Linked DNA regions of Caenorhabditis elegans. The protein of the gene in region 1 interacts with the protein of each later gene in a pairwise test. Each region holds a gene or a part of one and is shown in the gene's direction. Other genes may lie near its edges.

Region 1 (7,589 bases):
TTTCGGGCCCCAGGGGCTCCAAGCCGAACAGTTGTCATTTAAATCATGTTTTATTTTTTAAGAGGTGATAGTTTTTTCAGTGTTGCTGCGTGTTTCGAGATCACGTATTTATTTACTCCCTCTAGATGTTATCCTTTGCTTTCCCGCGAATTTCATGATTGCCGTTTTTCAACTAACCCCGTTCCCGCTATAATCACGACGCAGACTACGTAGGAGTAGAGCAAGTTTACGTAGCAGGCATCCAAGTTTATGTAGGAAGTTGGCAGGGGCGGAGCTGAAAAAGTGAGATTCCGGTGCTTGACTCTTTCTATCAGTTTTTATCCTATACTGTTAAGCGGTCGATCTAGGCAGTTATCATATCGAGTCGCGCGTATATTCTCTCTTTTGTCGTCTGCTAAATCATGATTAACGAGAGGCCGTGTTCTGGTATACGTAAACTAGCTGTATACTTCTTTGGTTTCTTTGCCTACTCGTTTTTCATGGATTTAGTTTCAAACTATTTTCCGTTGCCTACTATTATTGACGACGAGGCTTCGTTAGTTTTGAGAAAGATAATGTAGAAGTACCGTAAGTGGACGTAGGAATTACACACGTCCGCGCAACAGCCCCACAAGACTGGACAAGAAATTCGCAGACCGTGAAGTAATTTGTATTTCATTTCTCATTTTACCTTGCTATAATTGGTTCAGAGTTAAGTTGCGATTATCCGAGAGGTTGGATCCTGATATGGATATGACGTGGCAGTTACAGGCAGAGGGACCCGTCCTCTGAGTTTAAAGTCACACAGATGAGTGTAATCGGATAATTTTATGCAGTGTTTTTATCTCAATTAATTGGGTATTGAAGGGTTGGTATCTTCTCAAAATTTTATGTACGTAACTCTTTCCGTCATACTTTCGGTCGAGACACACTAAGACTTGACCTCTATAGCCCCAGGCTCTGCTTGTTCTACCCTATACCACACTATAACCCAAAAAATAAACCCATAATACCATAAATTTCGTGTTGACAAGAGCGCAGCTTGAGCTGGGAAAACTATTTCTCGGAGAGCGAAGCGAACCGAGAATTATATGTTTTCCCCGAGAAAGCGGAGCGAGTATCGTACCGCCAGCTTAAAGGCGCATCGCCTTTAGTGTTCGATGGGTCTCGACGCGATGAAATCTTGCCTTGGCCGCAGCGGCGATTTGTCACCATTCTACGTGTTGGTTCCCACCCGCCCGCCCCACACATCTGTTATTCCAAAGTGCCATGCACCTACACTATATTCCAATCCTACGTGAGGACATTATGAACTATCCATAAAATGTGATTACACCGTAAGTTGATTGGCATCAGGTGAGCCTTCCTTTTTCCTTCAGATTCCGCCAGAGTGGGCAGTCGGTGTCAATCTGCAACAAAAGCAGTTTGACCCTTGTGCTTGTTTCGGCGGTAGCAGGGAAGCTTCATTTTTGCAGTTCTGTAGAGTAAAATATTTTCGGATTTGGGCTCGTGGAGCCAGTTTCGAAGTTTGAATAATGATCTATTTTGCAGAGACTTATGTTTTCACCTATAGAGACCACAGAAAATTCGACGTTCTTCGAGAGTTCGAGTCTCGCACGACTTCTTTTCCGGCGCCGGATGCCGCAAGGAAACACGAATTATCAAATGCAGGTTCAAATTTTGGACAAATATTGAAAAAATCAGGTGTTTTTCGAAAAATTTATGAACCTAGATACGATATATAGCTTTTGACTTATTTCCCATAAAAAATTTCGGACTAAAACCGGGAAAGGACGCCGATCCCAGAACTTCAAACATCGGAATTGAAGACAAACCATCGAATTTACTAAATATTCAGTTTCAGATAATAATAATTGGACTAGTGCCCATTCTACAGATTTCATATTTTCATCGCTCAGCCGTCGGGCATCGTGACACATTTGGGAAGGCGACTCCGAAATTCGGGTTCAGGATCGTCAGCCTTCGTCTATGCAGCGCTGTATTCGGTCGGAGAAAGGAGAGAAGAAAGAAGATGGGAAAAATAGGGAGGAACGTCGATCTCCATTCTGGACCGTTTTCCTCGTGCCACATTGCTCTTCAGGGATGCAGTATTGCAAGGCGTTTAGCTACGACTCAGGATTAACAGAGAAGTTTTTTGTATAATTGATTTAAGGAATACGCCTATATATGGCTCAGCTCAGTAACTCATAATTCTGCACAAGGTTTTTCAGTTTTCCCACGGCAGACAGCAGTCTTCGACGTCACTCTCCGCTCAGCCACCAGATCGACGACGATCAGAACCGAGGAGAAACGACTGCGAGGGAAACGATTGGGCCACCCACCAGGATACTAATTACCCTTAATTAAAATTTCGAGGCCCTTATCTTATCGAATTCAAATTTGGGCGCCACGCGCCCAAATCCCCATTATTATCAATTATCACGTACCTATACCACACTATAACCCAAAAAATAAACCCATAATACCATAAATTTCGTGTTGACAAGAGCGCAGCTTGAGCTGGGAAAACTATTTCTCGGAGAGCGAAGCGAACCGAGAATTTTTATTTTTATGTTTTTTTTTTCAATGTTGCCATTATTTTTAGCAAAAAAAAAAAGAAGAATTTTTGCAGTGAACTTTATTTATAAAAAATAGATTTTTCGGAAATGCTTCCAGAAAATTTTCGTTTCCAACAGACTTTTATAAAAATAACAATAGTTTCGTTCAAAATAGGGACCATACCGTAAATCTTCTTTTTTTGTTGGGTTTTTAGAGGAAATATATATTTTTTGATCTCTGGATCAAAGTTTTTTGTGACCAGCCGTGGTTTGTTCCCATTTCTTAGTTTGTCAGCATGGCTACCACGTTTTCAACATATAGATCCCGTAAAATGATGACAATTTTGATGTTTTGTTGGCTAATTTGACATGAAGTATCTGTAAGAGACGCAGACATCTCCGCGCAAAGTGCATATAAAGTGATTTCGACCACTGTTGGACACAAATTGATTCAACTAACATTATTTTCAAGATGCCTTCCTACAAGTTGACCTACTTTGCCGTTCGTGGACTCGCTGAGCCCGCCAGACTTTTATTTCATCTTGCCGGAGTTCCGTTTGAGGATGAACGACTGACTTTTGGAGATGGAAGCTGGGAGAAGCTGAAGGACAGTGAGTTTTGGCTTAGTGGAACGGTAGTGCGGCAAACATCAAAATTTGCCGAGCTCTGCCAATTCGGCAAATTTGGCAAATTTGCCGTGCTGAGCAAAATTCGAAAAATTAGAAATTTTCTGATATTTCTAGTAGCACCAAAAGTACTGAATTCTTTGCACAATTTTGATTTTTGAATAGCGTCCGTGTGGTCGGCCTACCCGGCATTTGGCCTTAGCTTCTTGCCCAATTTTGGCCCAAAAAATATTAACTTGGATCAGAAGTTGTCTAAATTTGGGCAAAACTTGGATTCAGGTGGGCCAAAAATTTGGGCCAAAATGGGTCGCCCGAAACCGTTTAGGCAACTTCTGATTCTGAAGTTAATTTTTTGGGCCAAATTCCAAGTACATAAAATTTGAATTACCTCAATTTTATGATACTTTACTATAATTTTTTAAACAACAAAATCAATAATTTCGGTCAAATTTTTCAAATCCTTCTGTGTTGGGAGCGGCGAATTTCAAAAAGTAGTATTTTCAGAAACCCCAATGGGTCAAATGCCTGTCCTAAACGTCGACGGATTTGAAATCCCCCAATCTGCTGCCATCACTCGCTACCTTGCTAGAAAATTCGGGTTCGCTGGAAAAACTCCTGAAGAAGAAGCTTGGGTGGACGCCGTCGTCGATCAATTCAAGGATTTTTTTGGAGAATTCAGAAAACTAATTATTGCTCAGCGAGCCGGAAAATCAGTGGAAGAAATTGAAAAGCTCACCAAGGAAGTTATCAATCCAGCTGTAAGCTCGTTCTTCAAAATTCTCAATGGCCTTCTGGAAAAGAGCAAGTCAGGATATCTCATCGGGGATTCGATCACCTTTGCGGATCTTTTCATCGCTGAAGATATGCAATCCCTTAAAAACTTTGGATTCCTGAATGCTACGGAGCAACCAAAAATTGCAGCTCATCTCGAAAAAGTGTACTCCCATCCGAAGCTGAAGAGTTATATCGCAAGTCGTCCAGTTACCGAGATCTAATTTTTTTCTATTTTCTTTTTCTACTTTTCATGAAATACGCATTTTTGAAAACGAATAATAAAGTATGATATGCTGTCAAAAAATTTCCTGCATTCTTGCAAAACCGGACGTCGAACACCAATTTGCCACTTTGATCTACGTAGATCTACAAAAAATGCGGGAGAAGATCTTCTCGAGACGCAGAATTCTCAACTGATTTCAAATCGTTAAGAACGTGCTGACGTCACATATTTTTGGGCAAAAAATTCCCGCATTTTTTGTAGATCAAACCCTATTGGGACATCCTGGCATCACGTGATTTGCCTAAAACCAAAAATAATGCGCATTCAGAGAACATGCCTATTGTGCCTACCTATTTATTAACTTTGACAGTAGATAGGCAGGCGGCTGCTTAGAGCCTATAAGCTAGCCTACCTAGGCAACCCACATAGCCTACCTTTCAACTTTTCAAAAGATCATTGGATCACTAACACAATGTGACTAGTTGTGGTTTGTTACAAATTGCCTCATTGTCACCCTAAACTCCCTATTATTTCCCGTAAATGATGACGATTTTGATCTTTTGTAGGGTTATCTTGAAGTGAAAGATCACTAAGTACCCAGACTGCACTCTAGTCTTTTTCCCCTTTAAATAGTCTCGAGAATGAGTTTGAGAAACTAAAAATGCCGTCCTACAAGCTGTCTTATTTCCCAGTTCGTGGTCTAGCCGAGTCAGCCAGACTTTTATTCCATCTTGCCGGAGTTCCGTTTGAGGATGAACGGGTGAACTTTTTGGATGACACCTGGGAGAAGATGAAAGGCAGTGAGTTTGGGCAAAGTGGTAGGGTAGTGCAGGGGTGAGCGGCAATATTTGCCAAATTTGCTGGTAACCTAGCGCGGTAAATTTATCAAATTTTCCGTTTCCCAAGCTCGGCAAATTTGTTGAATATGCCCGACTCGCCGAGCTCGTCAAGTCTACCATATTTGCCGTTTTTCATGCTCGGCAAACTTGCCGAATTTGACATTTACCGAGTTCGGCAAATTTGCCGAATTTACTGTTTAGAAAGTTCGTAAAATTTTCCGAATTTGCCGAGCTTGGCAAGTTTTGAAATTTGCCGCACACCACAAAAATCGGCAGTTTGCCGGTTTTTTAAAAACAGTTTCGCCGATTGAAATCGAAATTATGAAATTTCCGAAAACAAATGTGCAAAACCACAATTTGCCGAAAAAATGTAGAATCGACAATGTGCCGGTTTGCCGATTTGCCCGAAATTTTCAAATTCGCCGGAAATTTTCGATTCCGAAAATTTGCCGATTTGTCGGAAATTTGAAATTCCGGCATTTTGTCTATTTGCCGGAAATTTTAAATTCCGACAATTTGCCGGTTTGCCGACTTGCCGGAATATGTCGCCCACCCCTGCTATATATCGAATTCCAGAAACCCCAATGGGACAATTGCCTGTCCTCACCGTCGATGACTTCGAAATCCCACAATCTGCTGCCATAAATCGCTACCTTGCTAGAAAATTCGGGTTCGCTGGAAAAACTCCAGAGGAAGAAGCTTGGGTAGACGCCGTCGTCGATCAATTCAAAGATTTCTTTGCGGAATTCAGAAAACTAGTCATTGCAAAACGAGTCGGAAAATCTGCTGAAGAACTGGAAAAGTTAACGGCTGAAGTTATAAAACCTGCTATGGATGTGTACTTCAAAGTTCTCAATGGCCTACTGGAAAAGAGCAAGTCAGGATATCTGATCGGAGATTCAATCACCTTCGCGGATCTTTATATCGCTGACAACATTCAAACACTGAAAAAATATGGGCTCCTAGAAGCTTCTGGAGAGCAACCAAAACTAGCAGCTCATCTCGAAAAAGTGTATTCCCACCCCAATCTGAAGAGCTATATCGCAAGTCGTCCAGTAACGGAGATCTAATTTTTAATCTTACTAACATGTTTTCCATATTCAAAAACAAAATAAAGAAGTTTCCTTTGACAACCAGAAACTTCATTAATGTTGACTGCCGCCGAAATGTCCTTGTCAATACTCTCTCACGTGGGGGGGGGGGGGGGGGGTAAACAAGAAAATGTGATGTTTGGTGAACAGAAAGGGTAGGGGAGAATAACAAAATAAAAACGAAGGAGGTTTTCTAAAGAATGATTGTTCTGGATTTTTTTTTGTTGGTTTTTTACAATTCATTTTTATTTTTATACTTATGCCAAGTTGAATTAAAGATGGAGCAGAGTTTCTGAAGTTTGCATATATTAATTACCTATTTTCAACAAATTTAGACGGCATTTTATTTTTGCCCAATTTTTTTCAGCCATCTAAGGACTGTCCTTTTTTTGGGCAAAAAAAATTTCTCTGAAACCGTTCGAAACTACTGGAAATTGAAAAAGGGCAATTTTTTAGTGTTTGCAGATCAATTTTGAGTCCTCTATCTATAAAATTGACCATTTTAGAGGAGTTTCAAAATTGTGATTTTTTGCCATAAATTGCCCATTTTTGCCACGTTATAGTTTTTGATGGGTTAAACATAGATTTTCTGAATTCAGCATACACGAATTACCCGTTTTCAACAAATTTAGCCAAAAATTTTTTTGCCCAATTTTTTTAAAGCCATCTAATGACTGTCCTTTTTTTTGGGCAAAAAAAAAGATTTTTCTTAAAACGTTTGGAACCACTGGAAATTGAAAAAGGGCAATTTTTTAGTGTTTGTAGATCAATTTTGAGTTCTCTAACTAAATTCAAAATGAACCATTTTAGAGGAGTTTTAAAATTTGTGATTTTTTACAATAAATTGCCCAAACAATATGTTTTTAAAAAAATTTTTAATGATTTTTTTTTTCAATTTTTCAAAAATCAAAGAAATGCCCAAATTATATTTGAATTCTCGCGCAAATGAGTGACGTCATTTTTGGCTAAATTTATGCGTTTTTTTTTAAAATTTTCTTCTATATTTGATTTAAAACACAAATTCGGCAATTGTTTTTCAAATTGAAAACTTTTTTCCGTAACATGGAAGAAATTGGTCTAAAAAACGGAAATTTAATATTTCTTTATATTTTTTTTGTTTTAGAAAATTGAATGTTTGAAAAATTGACAAACGGCGATTTAAATCAAATGTAGAAGACATATCAAGAAACCCCTCCAAAATTAGCCAGAAAAAGCGAAAATGCATAGAATGACGTCACTCATTCGCGCGGGAATTCAAATTTAATTCGGACGTTTTTTTTTTCAAATGGAAAAAAATTATTAAAAATTTAGAAAATTTTTAAAATTTTTTGACAGTTATATTTGGTTATTACGACCTATTTTCTGTGACTTAAACCCAAAAAAAATTTGAAAAAGCTCTTCTTCTCTTTTCAAAGTGGGGTTTTTTTCGAAACGTGTCCTGCAAAAAAATGTAAATTTCCAAAAAATCGTTTTTATTTCTCTTATTTTTCTTTTATTTT
Region 2 (8,779 bases), on another chromosome or scaffold:
AAGATTCTGCACTCAATATTGACTAGTACTTCTCGCGCAGGAACATATGATTCAAATTCAATCAAATCTGTTTCTGATTCTGCGTTAGTGGAAATCAGTATCTCATTGCCCGAGTCTGCAGAATACATGCCGGTAGGTTTTTTAGTAATAATTTCGAATTTATTTTTTCAACTCATTTTAGGCTGCCAAGTCTCTTCGTGATTTTGCCGATCAGCTGATGCCACTTGTTAATATGGAAAAAGTCGATTACTGGAAGAAAATGTTCCCAGCTCAAGCAGCTCCTCGTCGTTAATCTTCATTAATTGATTGATCTCACTTTGATACGTTATTTAATTTATAAAATTCACGAAGTATTCAATAATGTTAATATCCCACAAAGCTTCAATGGTTTATACCTTTTATTTTCTGATATCAACATTAAACATTTTTTTACTCCAATGAAAATTTAGAATGTCATCGAAAAATCCAGTAGATGAGCAACCTTGCTGTGGCTCCCATGAAGGTTCGCATCAAGATCCTGCTCCGGAGACGTTAGTAGTTGAAAAAGAAGTTAACAATGGGGAAAAGAAAATACGAATTGCTGTTGTCGGATGCTCTCACGGAGAAATGGATGCTATTTATGAGGTAAAATTTAAAAAAAAATCATATTTTTCGAACAAAATTAATGGCATATTTCAGATCTATTTTCTCTATTAGATTGTTTTAATTGCTATTTAAAATTACAACTATTTAAAAAAAATATTTCAGACAATGACACTAATCGAACAGAAAAATGGCTACAAATTCGATTTGCTGATCTGTTGTGGCGATTATCAAGCTGTCCGAAACTACGGCGACCTTCCACATATGAGTATTCCACCAAAGTACAGAAGTCTTCAAACATTCTATAAATACTATTCTGGAGAACAAAAAGCACCAGTTCTAACTCTATTCATCGGCGGAAACCATGAAGCATCTGGTTATCTATGTGAATTGCCTAATGGAGGATGGGTGGCGCCGAATATTTATTACATGGGATTCGCAAATTGCATTCGATTTGCTAACCTTCGTATCGCAGGACTCTCTGGAATTTTCTCGCAAGGAGATTTTCAATTTTCGCATTACGAACGCCCTTCGTTTTCGGAAAGAGATGTTAAAAGCGCATATCACGTTCGAAACGTTGATATGTTCCGGTTAAGACAATTGAAATCTGATAATGAAAATAAGATATCGGTATAAGCTTGAAAATTACTTTTTTATGAACATTTTCCTATTTTAGAACCCAATTGACATAATGCTCTCACACGATTGGCCTGGAGGTATTCCTGATTTTGGTGATAAGGAATGGCTTTTCCGGAAAAAGGATTTATTTGAAGCAGATCACAATAGTGGCAAACTGGGGAATCCTTCTGGAATGAAACTGATTTATGTATGTTTTTTGGTGATATTTGCAAAATTACTGTATGTATGTATTTTAGGATTGCCGGCCCAGATACTATCTTGCTGCACATCTTCATATTGCTTTTGCGGCCCTTGTTCCTCATAAAGGTTCAGGATCAGGCCGTCCACAGCCTACACGATTCTTATCACTGGATAAACCGATTCCTGGGAGAAAGTTTATGCAGGCAAGTCGTCACGTTCACTTTTTAAACTTCAACATTCAATATTATACAATCGAATAAATTTTTTCATTTTTCAGGCTCTCGAGTTGAATGTTGCAGACGATGCTAAACTGGAACTGTCATATGATCCACAATGGTTGGCTATTCTGAGAAATACAGATTTATTAACAACTGGAACAAAAGAACAGCTGATACTTCCCGATATGGCATCAAATCGTCCATGTGTCTACGAAAGAAAAGATTTTCGACCAACAGCAGAGGAGTTAAAAGAAATCGAAAAACTCGGAGATTTAACAATCAGAACTGACAGTTTCCAACAAACTGCGCCTCCGTTAAAAGAGGTAAGTGTCATCTCAGAATTTCGTGGATCTCTTAAGGATAGTAATTAAAACAACTGTTTACAGATTACGGAATCATCCAAAAATGTGCCACCAAGCGCCTACTACCGTAATCCACAATCTGCCGAGTTTTGTCAGTGGCTTGGTATTCGGGATCTTAATCAGATGCTCGTTGAAAAAACATCTGAACACGTTGGAACTCCGTACTACATGATGACTCAAGACGATGCGAACGCTAAACCAAATCAAGATGACGTGGATTTTGGTGACGAAGATTTTGTAATCGACAGAGGGCACACCTCCGATGAGCCAGAAGCGAAAAAAAGTAGATTGGACGAAGATAAGTTTGAAGCAGTACCATCCGAATGATGTTGAATACTTTACAACGTAGTTTCTAATTGAAGACCACATTGCCAAATATTTATTTTTTTGACATCAAGATATTGCCGTTTGTTGTTGTATACTCTATGTTAACATCTCAAAAAAACTTTAAATTGCCAAAAAAATAAAGCACCTCTCATGTTCACGTTTTCTCACAAACAAATATAGACTATGAAAATGCAGGGAGACTCCCAAATAAAAAAAAGCGGAAGAAGCAAGTCGATGCATTTACAATGGATGCTCTTTTTCCGCTACACTCACTTATTGTTAAACTTTTCCTCGATCTCTTTGACCCAACGTGGACTTCTTCAACGGTTTTATAGAGAATACGGAAGAGCTCCGCCTATATAATGGACGGTACACATTTTTTAAAATTTAACTGTTCCGTTTTGTTTATGGTTTCAAATCTTTAGAGCCTAATTTCTTTAGTAAAATTTATGTTAGGGTTTTCTATTTCAAAGTGCATCCACATATTCTGACGCCTTCCATGAATAGTTACAGTAATCTAATCAAAATCGCTGCAAGACCCGATTAAAAAAACAGAACTACCACTCGGTTTAAAATATAATTGAGCTATTTTACAAAAAATTTTCTATGTACAAAAAAAAACAAACAATTCTCATTCAGTTTTATCCGTTGCAGTAGAGTATCCTCTCCTCCTCTCGTCGATCATTTTCGTACCTTTTCCCTCATTCTCTCCATTTTTTCGAATGAGAAGAGACAGGGATGAATCAGTTGTTTTTTGTTCGTTTTGTTGGTGTGTTCCCATCAAGTACTCTATACTTTTTATTAGTTTCTTTGTTTTCGTTCAAAATTAGAGAGATTTTACGCCAAGGAAAGCCATGGATGAAATTAGTATAACTAGTTCGTATAGTGTTAACATTACCAAAATTCAGAGTAAAGCTTTTTTTTTAAATGTTTGAGTTGATTTGATTTACAGTCGAAAGGTCAGTTACACAGTTTTTTTAAAATTTATTTTTAAATATTTTTACTCGAACATTGTGAAAAAATGCAAGAATACAATTTTAAATACAACAATACAACTATCCCAAATTTGGTAGTTTACCAAAAATTTGAAAATTGTGGATTTAAATAAAGTTTTGGAGTGTTTCGGCTATGTTGGTCTATTATAAAAGTTATTATAAACGTATCCGTACAAAGTATTGGCAGAGAGAGAGGGAGAGAATATATGCAGGGGAGACCCCAATTTTTGGAAAAACAGTTCTGGTACTAATAGTAAGTTATAAAATTTTGAAAAGTATTGGACTTTGAGAATTTTCGAGTATTGCTGCGGATTAAGAGCATTACAATGTTAGAATTTAAAAACTAATACTTTTAAAAAAAGCATATCCTTTGGTCGACTCCAAAATTAAGGTGATACATAGATGAAAACAGAGTTATTGCAATTTTTTGACTGAGAAAAAAAATTCTGCCGAGAATTTTTGAGCAGTTTTACATTTGGTCATTTGTGCACCATAAAAGTGGTTGTGAATGATTTCCCTTTGAGGCATCAAGACTGGTATAATATCCACCCTTTTCAGTCTCATATTGAAGAATTCCAGTAGTACCAATAGGTCTAAATACCTAAATATATGTATCCAGTAATCTCTATGTCAGACGATATCAGAAATAAGATACAGTAAATCAGTCATGATACCATCTGTCCATGTTGCTTCTTCGATTTCTCTATGTCTCCATTTCTTATGTACTATCTCATTCTTCTCTTCTTGACACCATCTGCTCCCTTTATATGGGAATACTCCCCCTACTTGCTCCATCTCTTCGCTTTCTTCTTCACATCGACCCTCTTTTCAGTCTGCGTCTCTATCATCTCTCGTTAAAGCTAGCCCCACTACCAGTTTTCCCCAAAAAGCAGTTAGTTGGTATTTTTCATTATTGTCATTTTCGAGATTTCGCAATAACATTATCCATGCTAAAATGGATAATAGGATCCCGTCGGCTTTAACGACGTCTGTCAAATCGCCGAAAACGCCAAGTGGAATACCATTCTTGATTCGAGAACGTGACGTCATCAAAGCTATCTTAGAATTTTTAGAGATTCGAGGTCTACATATAACACAGGTGAGTAAAAAATGTATCTCAGAAACCCACATTTTTCGTAAATTTGCCAATTTGCCAAAACCTTGACTGCAATTTTTCTAAACTCTAAATATTTTTTGGAGTGGTTTATATGTAATGATATTCGATAATTTTGGACTATTATAAATGTATTTATTACCACCTTACTGATTTTGATATATTATGTAGTGTTCAATTCGTAAACCCCAATTGAAAGTTTGTATTTACGGAGAATCAGACTTCTTATTCAAGAACTACACATTTTAACCAGAAATTTAATTTAGTGATGATTGTACCAGAAACATTTAAATTTTTTTAAAATTTTTAATCCAAACTCAGACACAGGCTCAATTATTACGCTTTCAGTTATCTCTAGAACGTGAAGCTGGTGTTATCAATGGTGCTTTCTCTGATGATCTCTTATTTTTACGCCAACTGATTCTTGATGGGCAATGGGATAATGCTCTCGATTTTGTGGAACCTTTAAAGCCGGTCAATGAATTTGATTTTGGAGCTTTTCGGTTGGTTTTTTAGGGCTGAAATGTTTTATAAGAAAGGTGTAAACTTTAACAATATAAATTTTCGAGAAACAAAATGTTTGCCATTTTTTATTAAATGAGTTCTGTCATTATTTTCAAAAAACATGATTTAGATATAATATAACAAAATACAAATTCTTCGAACTCCTATGCGTCAAGCTCGAGCCCGGACCTTTACATGACAACGACTTTGCAGTAGAGGTATACACCTTTTAGAAGTACATTTTAAATTTTTAAAATGTTGATTTAAAGGAACTCGTAGAATGTCTGAAAGATTTGGAACACATTTGTCCGACTCCCGAAGATTATCGTCATTTGTGTGCACTTTTGACACTTCCAAAACTATCAGATCACGAAGATTTTAAGAATTGGAATCCAAGTTCTGCAAGGGTTGAGTGTTTCAATAAGGTGGGTGATTTTGATTTCTGAATTCAGAAATCTATGGGTTATTTTACAGGTTAACCAACTCTGTGGACATTTGCTTCCACCAACTGGGAAGGAAAAAGACCGAGGAGATGATGCAAATAGTTCAAATGACAGATTAACTGGATTAATTACAAAAGGAAGATTCTACGAAGGTTGTGTAGATTACTGTCAAGCACAGGTTAGTTGTAGTTTCAAAATGTATTTTCTGAAAAAAAAAAAGAAGACGAGAACTTGTTAAAAACAACTTCCATGGTGCCAAAATGACCGAATATTGAAATGAACTTTTTTTTTCAAAAAAATTTTAGTGACCGTCCAAAAAGTGGTCATTACTGAGTTTTTGCCACTTTTGAAGAAAACTATAGCACTGTTGCATGTTCCCTACAATGTTTGAATATAAATGTTTGAAACATAAGTAGACCATAAAAATGAAAGGAAGTTTTTTGGATCGGCTTCCGAAAAAGTGGCAAAAACCGAGTTTTTGCCAATTTTCAAAAAATCATATAAAATTTAGAAAAATTGATTAAATTTTTTATTATGATATTTGGTCATTGTGCTGCTATTTCCTCACTGGAGCTACTCCGCCATCAATGTTAATATTTATAACATCAACATTTTTCAGGCAATTGGTGATAAACGAGGTATCGACGCTGGCCCGATGCCATCAGAAATGTTGACATTCCGTCCGAAGCTCGGATCGGCTGATTTATCATTAGTTTGCTGGTTAGAAATGGTAGGAAAAGAACAATTTTCAATGCCTTTCAAGCAGAAACAATTGGAGTTGAAAGTCGATCATATAAGGTAAGTTTGAATTATTTTTTATTAAGCAGCAGACAAATCGCCTTTTGCCCGAAAAAGGTATCCAAAAAGTGATGGATGTAAACGCTGCGAGGAGGACGAGTGAAGAGGCATATAATGACGCACGTTACGTCCATCTCATCTTGTTGGAAACTCAAAAACATTATGCCAAAAAAATAGTCTCAAATAAATTTTATTTTTAAATGATATTATAGGAAACCGAAACTGGAAGCTCCTTGGACAGAAACAATTATGGCAACTCCAATCAAACCTGGTGGTCAATTCCCTCATAATCTTGTTCCATCCTCCAAATTAAAATTCGCGGAGAAAATGAGCCAATCAATGACAATGAGCATGCTTCCCCCAGCCGATTTGACCACTTCAATGTTCCCATCGGTGCCACGTGGCCATCCAATGTCACAGTCAACAGCTGCAGGATTTTGTTTGGGAACGGCAATAACAGAAGCTGATGCAATGGCGCAGAGTCTTCTAATTGATGAAATGATGGAATCAAGTCAATTGGCAAGAACATCAAGACCTGATACATTGAGAGGAGTTGGAATGATGATGACTGGAGATACAATTGTTCCTGTACAACCTGCACAAGTAATGATCAATGCCCCATCTCAACTCTCAAGTCAAATGATGAGCATGTAATTTTTATAAATTCAAATAAGTGAAAGATATATATTATTTAGGTCAATGGCTCCCCAAGTGATGGCGCCGATCGCTCCAATGGCTCAAAATATGATTAATTACGATTTTGCTCCAGTTCGAAGGCAATTGGATGAAATGGCACGAAGGTGAGTAATGCACATTTGTTCAGAACTTACGATATGTAGCACAGATTCTCTGTAAGATGGAAGGGGAGTACTGTAGGGTAAATGTGAATTGTTTCTGAAAAATCCAGACAGAAAATATTGTTTGTTCATTTCATGATAGTAAATAGAAATATGCTACAGATCCTTGCCTCCATCCCGCCTTCCAACTGTACCAGAACTCGGTTCACCAGCTGTTAATAGTCACCACGAAGAAAATTTGATGACTCAAAGCCGTCTCTTCCAACAGTTTTCTGCTGCTAAACAAATAAGTAAGTCAAAAAGTTTTATGAGATCTGATAAGAGGTAAAATGATATGAAACTGAGTGGAAAGAAAGGGAATCAGACTGCTTCCGGTGACGGTTGTCGATTCAAGTCTGCATTGGATGCAGCACACGAGAGAGCTATGACGTCACGATAACCATTCATAGAAACACTGAAAAGATGGGGTAAAAGGACACAAAAGAGTACTAAAAATACCTCATATGGAATGGAAGTACTGTATTCCTTGCTGATAGTAATGCTTCTTGAACATTTGGATAAAATTGAGTTCTTGGGACTGTATTATAAAATCCCAGAAGCTCCATTGAATCACGTACAAATGCGGGTACACCAGCCAATAGTATTTTTATATTTTCACTGCTCAAGTCTCCGTACACCTAAACGATGTTTGAATTGAGTACGGTTCACAAATGTCCGTTCACACCTGTGATAAACATGTCAACATATCCTTATCAATACCAGTCACTCCATTCATTGACAAAACGAGAAATCTAACAATTGGAGGAGTATCTTCTGAAGGTGGCAGAGCCACGGAGACATCACACTCTTGAATTATCGTAATGTTTGCTGAGAGATTCACAGATTCCCGTGCACATATACTTTCCTGAATTGAGAACTTGATTGGAAGATATTAGTTTAGTTCTAGAAGAAGAAAAACTTGAAATATCCATTCGTCAGTAAGAGGTTATGGACTGATGAAGATTTTTTTTGAAAGCTAATTTAATTTGGAATGATATCATAAACTTTTTCAAACCAAAGGTAGTGTAGAAGTAATATATACAAAATTATTTTTTCAAAAAAATATTATTTTTGCTGAAGAAGGGTTCAAATTATTTTCGATGCAATGAAATTGTTCCATATTTCTACATTTATGTTTTTCATTAAAAATTAGGTTATCACTTTGAATGACATCTCACAATTACATCTCAAAAACAGTTCAAAATGTACAACAGGGTTCACTTGTTCACAGTTATTTGTTCACTCAACGCAATAATTCCCACCACTGACGAATGGATAATACTCACTTTTGGTCCAATTGCTGATGGACATTGACTACGTAAAGATGCAGTTCGAGTTCCGATTCCAATTCCGATCAGACTAAAGTTCACAAAGTTAATTTTTTACTGGAAATTTACAAATTACCCTTTGACAACAACCGCCTGTTTGAAAAGTTCACTTCTGATACTTTCACAATTAACGGAAAGAAGTGGTCCACTGAGACGAATGATTCGAAGAGGAGTATCAAGGCAATCACCTTCGTAACTGGAACATGACGGTTTAAGAATATTTACAACACAGCTTGAATAATTATGAAATTGACAAGAAAACGTGTACCCGGCTAGAAAACTCACCGATTCTCCTCAGCAAAATGCGACTCAGACAGCTTGGCAAGAACCTCAACATTCGGGAATTGGACTTTCAATGAAACTGCGAAAATTGAGCAAAACAACATACAGATGAAGCCAGTGCACACATTTGGGAAAATTAAAGCACTCACAATTGCAGCCATAGCAATTGCC

The links. Proteins that work in one complex are often made in the same cells at the same time.
Region 2: the proteins of gst-12 (region 1) and nmtn-1 interact in a two-hybrid assay, tested with the Caenorhabditis elegans proteins (one large-scale study listed by BioGRID).

Annotation. Positions count from the first base shown.
Region 1 is NC_003280.10:13,613,331-13,620,919, reverse strand, and holds gst-12 (glutathione transferase), read left to right. Parts: upstream 1-2,858; 5' UTR 2,859-3,009; coding exon 3,010-3,148; intron 3,149-3,667; coding exon 3,668-4,158; 3' UTR 4,159-4,238; downstream 4,239-7,589. Other genes in the region: gst-14 (glutathione transferase), read left to right, coding at 4,822-4,960, 5,576-6,069.
Region 2 is NC_003279.8:6,484,398-6,493,176, reverse strand, and holds the start of nmtn-1 (CTLH domain-containing protein), read left to right. Parts: upstream 1-4,199; 5' UTR 4,200-4,258; coding exon 4,259-4,402; intron 4,403-4,765; coding exon 4,766-4,920; intron 4,921-5,051; coding exon 5,052-5,139; intron 5,140-5,190; coding exon 5,191-5,346; intron 5,347-5,395; coding exon 5,396-5,542; intron 5,543-5,983; coding exon 5,984-6,162; intron 6,163-6,374; coding exon 6,375-6,812; intron 6,813-6,857; coding exon 6,858-6,962; intron 6,963-7,121; coding exon 7,122-7,249; intron 7,250-7,250; exon of another isoform or gene 7,251-7,319; coding exon of another isoform or gene 7,320-7,413; intron 7,414-7,457; coding exon of another isoform or gene 7,458-7,636; intron 7,637-7,683; coding exon of another isoform or gene 7,684-7,875; intron 7,876-8,284; coding exon of another isoform or gene 8,285-8,357; intron 8,358-8,402; coding exon of another isoform or gene 8,403-8,522; intron 8,523-8,611; coding exon of another isoform or gene 8,612-8,778; intron 8,779-8,779. Other genes in the region: mdt-18 (Mediator of RNA polymerase II transcription subunit 18), read left to right, coding at 1-132, 182-292; dbr-1 (Lariat debranching enzyme), read left to right, coding at 451-624, 748-1,212, 1,259-1,408, 1,458-1,604, 1,679-1,942, 2,006-2,308; sulp-1 (STAS domain-containing protein), read right to left, coding at 7,320-7,413, 7,458-7,636, 7,684-7,875, 8,285-8,357, 8,403-8,522, 8,612-8,778.